Linked DNA regions of Coturnix japonica. The protein of the gene in region 1 purifies or fractionates together with the protein of each later gene. This does not show direct contact. Links are inferred from orthologs where the notes say so. Each region holds a gene or a part of one and is shown in the gene's direction. Other genes may lie near its edges.

What was found.
Region 2: the proteins of UBQLN4 (region 1) and GJA1 purify together in Homo sapiens (affinity purification with western blotting; 3 studies listed by BioGRID). This does not show direct contact. The link is inferred for Coturnix japonica from reciprocal best matches to the Homo sapiens genes UBQLN4 and GJA1.

What each region holds. Positions count from the first base shown.
Region 1 is NC_029540.1:71,089-74,714, reverse strand, and holds the end of UBQLN4 (ubiquilin-4), read left to right. Parts: intron 1-8; coding exon 9-92; intron 93-585; coding exon 586-701; intron 702-1,279; coding exon 1,280-1,457; intron 1,458-1,944; coding exon 1,945-2,097; 3' UTR 2,098-2,748; coding exon of another isoform or gene 2,749-2,843; 3' UTR 2,844-3,066; downstream 3,067-3,626. Other genes in the region: cytochrome b5 domain-containing protein 1, read right to left, coding at 2,749-2,843. UniProt on the Homo sapiens protein: Regulator of protein degradation that mediates the proteasomal targeting of misfolded, mislocalized or accumulated proteins.
Region 2 is NC_029518.1:56,148,345-56,152,023, reverse strand, and holds part of GJA1 (gap junction alpha-1 protein), read left to right. Parts: intron 1-3,209; 5' UTR 3,210-3,225; coding exon 3,226-3,679. UniProt on the Homo sapiens protein: Gap junction protein that acts as a regulator of bladder capacity. A gap junction consists of a cluster of closely packed pairs of transmembrane channels, the connexons, through which materials of low MW diffuse from one cell to a neighboring cell.

The sequences.
Region 1 (3,626 bases):
CTTCCTAGATCATGGTAAATGTTCCTCTCTTTGCTGGGAATCCACAGCTTCAAGAACAGCTCCGCCTTCAGCTCCCAGTCTTCCTGCAGCAGGTAACAGCCCCTGTCTGGCCCTGTGGGCTCGGGTGGGTTGCGCTGTGACAGCAAGGGGTTGGTACAGGGGAAAGAGTGGGAGAGCTTGTTTGGACAAGGCAGTGTAAATGAGGTAATGTAAATTACCTCAAGGCTGACTTGAAATGATGATGAGTTCAGCTGCATGAAACCCCTGTGTGGACGCTCTCTCCCAGTAATGAGTTTACAAAAATTAGACTGGCTAATTGTGCTTGAGCAGCTGCTTCACTCAAGTGGATGAAAACGGCTTTAATTCTGGAGGCACGTGTGCCCCGTCCTAATCTGATTCTCCTACTTTATGTAGGAAATCTGATCTCTTGGAGTGTGTCTGCGCAGATGAGCCCGGTGGTGCAGGGACAGGAAGGAGAGCCCAGACCCGTGGGTTGGCTGTGGCTGTTCAGACTGCCAGCTGGTGGAGCACTGCCTGCACGAGCTCTCACTGTTCACCACCGCTGTGTCTCTCCTTCCTTCCCAGATGCAGAACCCAGACTCCCTGTCCATTCTCACCAACCCCCGCGCCATGCAGGCGCTCCTCCAGATCCAGCAGGGACTCCAGACGCTGCAAACGGAGGCCCCAGGACTCGTGCCAAGGTAAGGAGCGTTCCTCAGGGCAGGATGCTGCGGGCAGAGCTGGCGTGCTTGATGGCAGCCTGGCTGCCCACTCACCAACCAGATCTGCTCGGGGGATGCTGTGTGTGTCTGCAGGGCTCTGTGGGCTCCAGCTGATGGGCACTTTGTTTGTTTGCACTTCGTGCGGGAAGTCCTTGACCTTTTCCTTTGGGGATAAAGATTTGGGAACCATTTAGTCCCTCCTCTGCCTTTTGTTTGAGGTGTTTAAGTGTCGGGTGAACTCAGTTTTACCTCTAGGGATGTGCACCGTGGGGCTGGGTGGGTAAGTTAGGGCACATTGTGCTGCTGGGTGCTCTCGACCCTCTGCTCTCTGTCAGTGTGGGTCACGTTCAGCCTCTGCAGATTTCTCAGGCTGTGCCTGTATTAGGATGGTTTGCTCCCAGTTTTGCTGTGGGTGGGATGTGAGCGCAGCCAGTCATGGAGCATGGCCAGCCTGGCCGAGCCTGCTGGCTCCCCGTGCCACCTCGCTCTCGCAAGACAGGCAGGGGACAGCCAGAAGTGCCGGCTCAGCTCTGAGCAAACCCTGCCTTCCTCTGCAGCCTCGGCTCCTTTGGCATGCCTCGAATGCCCCCGTCCTCCACAGGAGGAAGCACAATCCCGGAGAACCCCGTTCCCTCCGCTTCGACGCCGGCCAGTGCCTCTCCAGCTGGGGGTGGTAACCCCCAACAGCAGCTCATGCAGCAGATGATCCAGCTGCTGGCTGGAGGAAGCTCTCAAGTATGTAATCATGGAGTCATAGAATGCCTTAAGTTGGAAGGGACCTCAAAGATCATTCACTTCCAATGCTCATGCTGTGGGCTTACTGCACACCCCAGCCCAGGGCCCATCTGCAGCCTCAGGCACCTCCAGGGATGGGGCACCCACAGCTCTGGGCAGCGCTACCACAGCCCCAGTGCCCTCTGAGTAAAGAATTTCCACCTAAAATCCAATTGAAATCTCCCCTTCTTTATTTGAAAGCCGTTCCTTGTCCCGTCACCGGATGCACACACAAAGATCGCTCTCCCTCCAATGTATGAGCTCCCCCCAAGTCCTGGATGCCCATTTACCTGCTGCTGGGCTTCTTGGGCACCTCTCTGGGGTGATCTTGGGGTTGTTTCTGGCCGTGGTTCTGCAGCTTCCCTTGGCTCAACAATGTCAGTCCCCACTCTGCTGTTCTCCCAGCTGCGCTCTGTGCCGCTGAGGTCTTTGTCCTTTCCCTCTGCAGGCGCAGAGTCCTGAAGTGCGATTCCAACAGCAGCTGGAGCAGCTGAATGCCATGGGCTTCATTAACCGCGAGGCCAACCTGCAGGCTCTTATTGCCACGGGCGGGGACATCAACGCAGCTATTGAGAGACTGCTGGGCTCCCAGCCTTCCTAAGCTCCCGTCACGCCGCCCCGCAGATGTCAGCACAGCATCCATTCACATGCGCAGGGGGATCTTTCAGGAAAGCCCGCCGTCATTTTCATATCTGACAGCTGTCATGTATTTAAAACAAAAAAAAGATACAGCTTAACCCCCGACCTTCCTACTAAGTTAAGATTTCATGTTGAAATGCTCTTTAACTGGCTTGTATGTGGATTCCAGTTCTCATCGTGGCCACAGAGACTTCAGATGTGTATTTTTTCCTCAATATTCCCTCTGTTCCAGACATTCTCTCTCTCTCTCTAGATGGTAGAGGCGATACTCCTAGTTATTTACCTGAATGATTGTGTTTTGAGTAGCTTGATTTTAACTGTACATGATTCCCTCCCTTCGCCCTCCTTTCAGGCAAATATTTAAAACTTGAGCCAACTTTGGTTTCCGGTTCTTTCTCCCGGCATCTTCTTGGGGATAATAGAGCGAAAGAAAAAACCGCAGCGACCTGGAAATCTCTCATGTCGTTTGTCTTAATGATTCCATGGGACGAATGGGGCCCTCGGCACGTGGGGGGCTGCCGTCTCCCACCGCGGGGATGGGCTGCATGCAAACCACGCCTGACCTGGGGTCTCGTGGCGCAGTTGGGATGGCGTCACGGAGCCCCGGCGGCCTTCAGGGCTGGGGTTTGTTGTGGAAGCTGAGCTGAAGGCAGCGCTGGGGCAGCAGCTCTTTGTGTTCGGTGCTTTTCTGCTCTGCGGGTTCAATATCTGTAAAAACAGGAGGGAAAGATCCGATCTCTCCACTGCAAAGTGTTTGTGCTGCCCAGCCCGGAGCCGCCCTCATTGCTCCCCCGTTGTGGTGCATTTGATGCTGCGTTCCGTGGAGGACCAACAGGGCCGCGCTTTCCCCAGGGCCTCCGGGGCCTCGAGATCTGCAGACCAGGTTTATCAACGAGAAAACAACAATAATAAATGCGCACAACCATCCGTCTCCCTGCGGCTCCTGTGTCGTCCTTGATTGAATTCTCCTCATTAACTCCTGATGAATGGGGCAGAGGGCGGCTGTTGGTGCAGCCCCCCACCTCTCCATTCCTCCTTCCCTTTGCCACAGCGCTGCAATCCCACATTTAACGTAATTCTTCCCTTTTTTCAGTAGGGGGGGATGGGGCAGAGAGAGGGAAGAGATGGCAGCAGAGCTCCGTGCAGCTGCAGAACAAAGTGCGTGGGGTGGGGGGAGCAGCGCTGCAGTGCGGAGCTGGGGCTGCAGATGGGGCAGTGTGGGCCCTGTCCCAGGCTGTGCTCCATGGGGCTCCAGGCTTCTATTTGTTCCACCACCCCGTGTCCTTGCAGCACAGCGCCAACCCCACCAGCACTCAGTGCCTTCATCCCATGCTCTTTATCACTCACCCTCTGATGAGCTCTCACTGATGTGCTCAGTAGGTGAATGCGAATGATGAATACTGTATATATATATATATAGGTGCTGAAATCACAACCTATCACAGAGCTGTAGGGGTTGGAAGGGACCTCCAGAGACTTCTTGTTAGGGGG
Region 2 (3,679 bases), on another chromosome or scaffold:
GTTCTGTGTTGTTTTTTCCTGTCTTTACCCGCACACAGTAGAATCTGGAAGAAATCCATCTTTTTAAAAAGTTTAATAGGCCTGCATTAGTCGTCGTCTTCCCACCCCCCTCTCCCCCCCCAGAAAAACCTTTTTGAAGTAATAATCAGTAAGAACTCATGAAATGTGTGTATGCATCATCAGCCATATCCTAAAATTCCTGAACTACTGAAATTGCACCAGCCCCTCAGATCAAGCTGTGCTATTCAGCGGAACTGTTGAAAGAAGTTTGATTGTTAAAAGAAGTCTAGATGCTGAATTTTTTTACTGTAATCTTCCATCAATTTCATACTATTTACTAGCTAAAACACTTAAATACTTGTTAGATGCAAAAGCACTTCTTATACCTAGTAAACATACATTGGAATCAGTTAATTAAAATGGTCTTTCAGTGTCTGGAAAGTGAACAAGTTATATACTATGAATGAGTTTTCCCTGAAACAAAACAAAGTACTGTGTTTCATAAAGCAAAACAATCCACCTAAGTGAAGGAATAATATATTTGTGCCACCACAAGATTATCTGATTAAAAGCACAATGTTTTGAATTGACGTGGGGTTTTTATCACTGGCAAAGGCTAGCGTGTAACCGATCTCTTTTTAAAAAGTTCCTTTTCAAAACTATGTATGAGTAATTCAAGCGTGGAATGTTTCCTCCTGGAGTTAATATTGCCAGAGGATATAAATGAAACTTAGCAATTTTGCATGCTGAGGTAAATTAAAAAATAAGTAGTAAATTCTCAAAATATTGCAGGTGTGGGATTAGGTAGGTCAAGACTGAAGTAAATCATGTTATAGTAATGGAGCAGAGTGGAGTGTAATTAAAAAACAAACAACATATAACTGCCTAGAAATAACATGTCCCCTGTTTTCTTAATCAAACTTTCAATCTGAAATAACATTTAGACAGTAAAAAAGTACACTCGAGTCTGAGGAAACTCTGTTAATGCGGTAGTTTCAAATCATCTGAAAGCTGACTAATTAAATCAAGAAGCTGTTACTTGAAAAAGGCTCCTTCTGTCCACTTCCACTTCTAGGACATGGAGAAACAAACTTCGCATGCCGTATAGTTACAGACTGTTCTCTGTTTTAACAGTCTCAGCATGAGGAGGGACGCAGTTACATTGCATTCCTGCCTTTGCACAGCCCTCTGTGCTCCTGTGCTGACGCCTTTCCTACCAATCTGAACCAATAAAGACAAACTAATCTTTTCCTGGGAATGACTAAACCTGGAAATGATCTGTCCTGAAAGGATACCTTTGGAGAGAAACATGCTGTGTGTCCCTCCCAGCAAGGCCTCTAGATTTAAAAGTTTGAAGAGGGCCTGATCCTTTGATGGGACTTCATTCATGTGAAGAACTAATTATGTGAGGAAGGGTCTGTACACCCCAGTAGGTAAACTTCCTCTGCACTTCAGAGCGATCTGACCAGGAGGGCTGTGGAACCGGCTCTGGGATATTTTGCAGGCGTTCAAAAATAATTGGCATCTCCAAGCCGTCGGATCAAGTACTTTAAACACTTGGCTCTCGTTATTCTCTGACTCTTTCTGATAGCAAAAGCGACAGTTTTTTTTTAATTTGGCATAGCATATATTGTTATGATTGAGTATGCCAAATTTATAATCTTCTGTTTCCAGTGAGTCACCACTCTGTGAAAGAAAATCTCCTTGGTACTAAAATTTCCTATTTTATGAATTATCCAGAGGTGTTTTTGTTGTTGTTGTTTGTTTGTTTTCTATAAATAACCTTCACTGGGGAATATATCCATGATATCCATGACGGGAAGGAAACCATTTGAACAGTATCAGAACTATTAATACAGGAAAGAGATTACTCAGCGTGCATGGTACAAATGTGTCTGCCCAGCAGCATCTACTTCAAAAGGGAAGATTTGCTTATTTTTTCTTGTAGGTGTGCAATTTCACATGCTCACTTATGCGGGACAAGTTAAAATGTAAGATTTTTAGCAGAAGTGGTTACCATTCTCCACTTGATAAAAGCTATGTGTGAAGCTTTGTTTTTCCTAGGAATATAGAACATCGAGTAGAATATTTCACTTGTCCCCTCATGTATTTCCAGATATCCCTGAGAAGTGGTGCATTTCCCAGAAACATGCACTTTAAACTCAAGTTGAGAGAGACAATTTAAACTTGCAGTGCTCTACACTTGTAGTGCAAATCACCCACTAGGAGCTGCCTTAGAAAGTGCTCTCTTGTCTTTCCTTCCTGGGTAAATCCTTTTTCTTTTTAAAGTGAAGTGAAGGAGTTTAAATCTAAAAAGATGCAAATGAGGAGTTGAAACTACAGTAAATCAAACAAGCCACAAATAGCCAGGAAACCAGTTCTTCCAATATGGTAACATAAGCTTAGCTGCACCTGATGCTTTTAGTATTTTTGGTTCCTGTATAAAAATGTAGGTGAAGAGTACCAATATTGATCTTTGTGCTGCAAATACTTAGTTATAAACTTAATTTAGAAAACAAGATTTTTTTCTGAAGCGAAGTACAGTCAGAACTTTGCATCATAGCAACTATACTCAGATAAATCATGCACAGTGTACTGATGTGTGTGACAGCTCAGTTTAATATTGCCATGGGAAATGTAGTGTGCATTTGTAATGATGAAATGTTAGGTCTCTGACCCTAACACTAATTCAGTACATTTTTAATGTAAATTTTATTATGTTTTGCTTTCCTGCTCTTTTTAAGAATGAATATATAGATAACTGTGGATGAGACGCACTGAAAAGAGAGGAATCTTTCATTTATTCTTAGCATATTCAGACAGTGCTACCAAACGCTTCCACATCCTGCTTCAGCGGTGTGTCACAGCCGTTTTCTGCCTGCAGCAGATGTCAGTCATTGAACTGAAGCTGCCATCAGGGAAGCTGGTTTTAGCCAACCACAGTGGCAAACAGGGGTTTCCATGGATTTCTTGAAAATATGACAGAAATTAGGAACTTCTGTCTTTCACTGTGTTCGGAGACATCATAAAATGTTCATCTTTACTGTACAGCCCACTCAACCTGCAGACTAAGTGAAGTGAATGAATTAAAACAAAGCTGACACCACTATACTGTTAGCATTGATCTGTGTGTGATTCAGCTCATCAGAAGTATTAAACATCTGTCTTAACCATCAGTTGTTTTTCTTTTTCTTTGTTTCTTTCTGTAGCCACTATCCCGTGAAGATGGGTGATTGGAGTGCCCTGGGAAAACTTCTTGACAAGGTTCAAGCGTATTCTACTGCAGGAGGAAAAGTATGGCTGTCTGTCCTCTTTATTTTCCGAATCCTTCTATTGGGGACAGCAGTCGAGTCTGCTTGGGGAGATGAACAGTCTGCTTTTCGGTGCAATACTCAACAGCCTGGTTGTGAGAATGTCTGCTATGATAAGTCCTTCCCCATCTCCCACGTGCGTTTCTGGGTTCTGCAGATCATATTTGTTTCTGTACCAACCCTCTTGTACCTGGCGCACGTGTTCTACGTGATGAGGAAAGAAGAGAAGCTGAACAAAAGAGAAGAAGAGCTCAAGGTGGTCCAAAATGATGGTGTGAATGTGGATATGCACCTTAAACAAATAGAAATTAAGAAATTCAAGTATGGGATTGAAGAGCATGGCAAGGTAAAGATGCGTGGGGGACTGC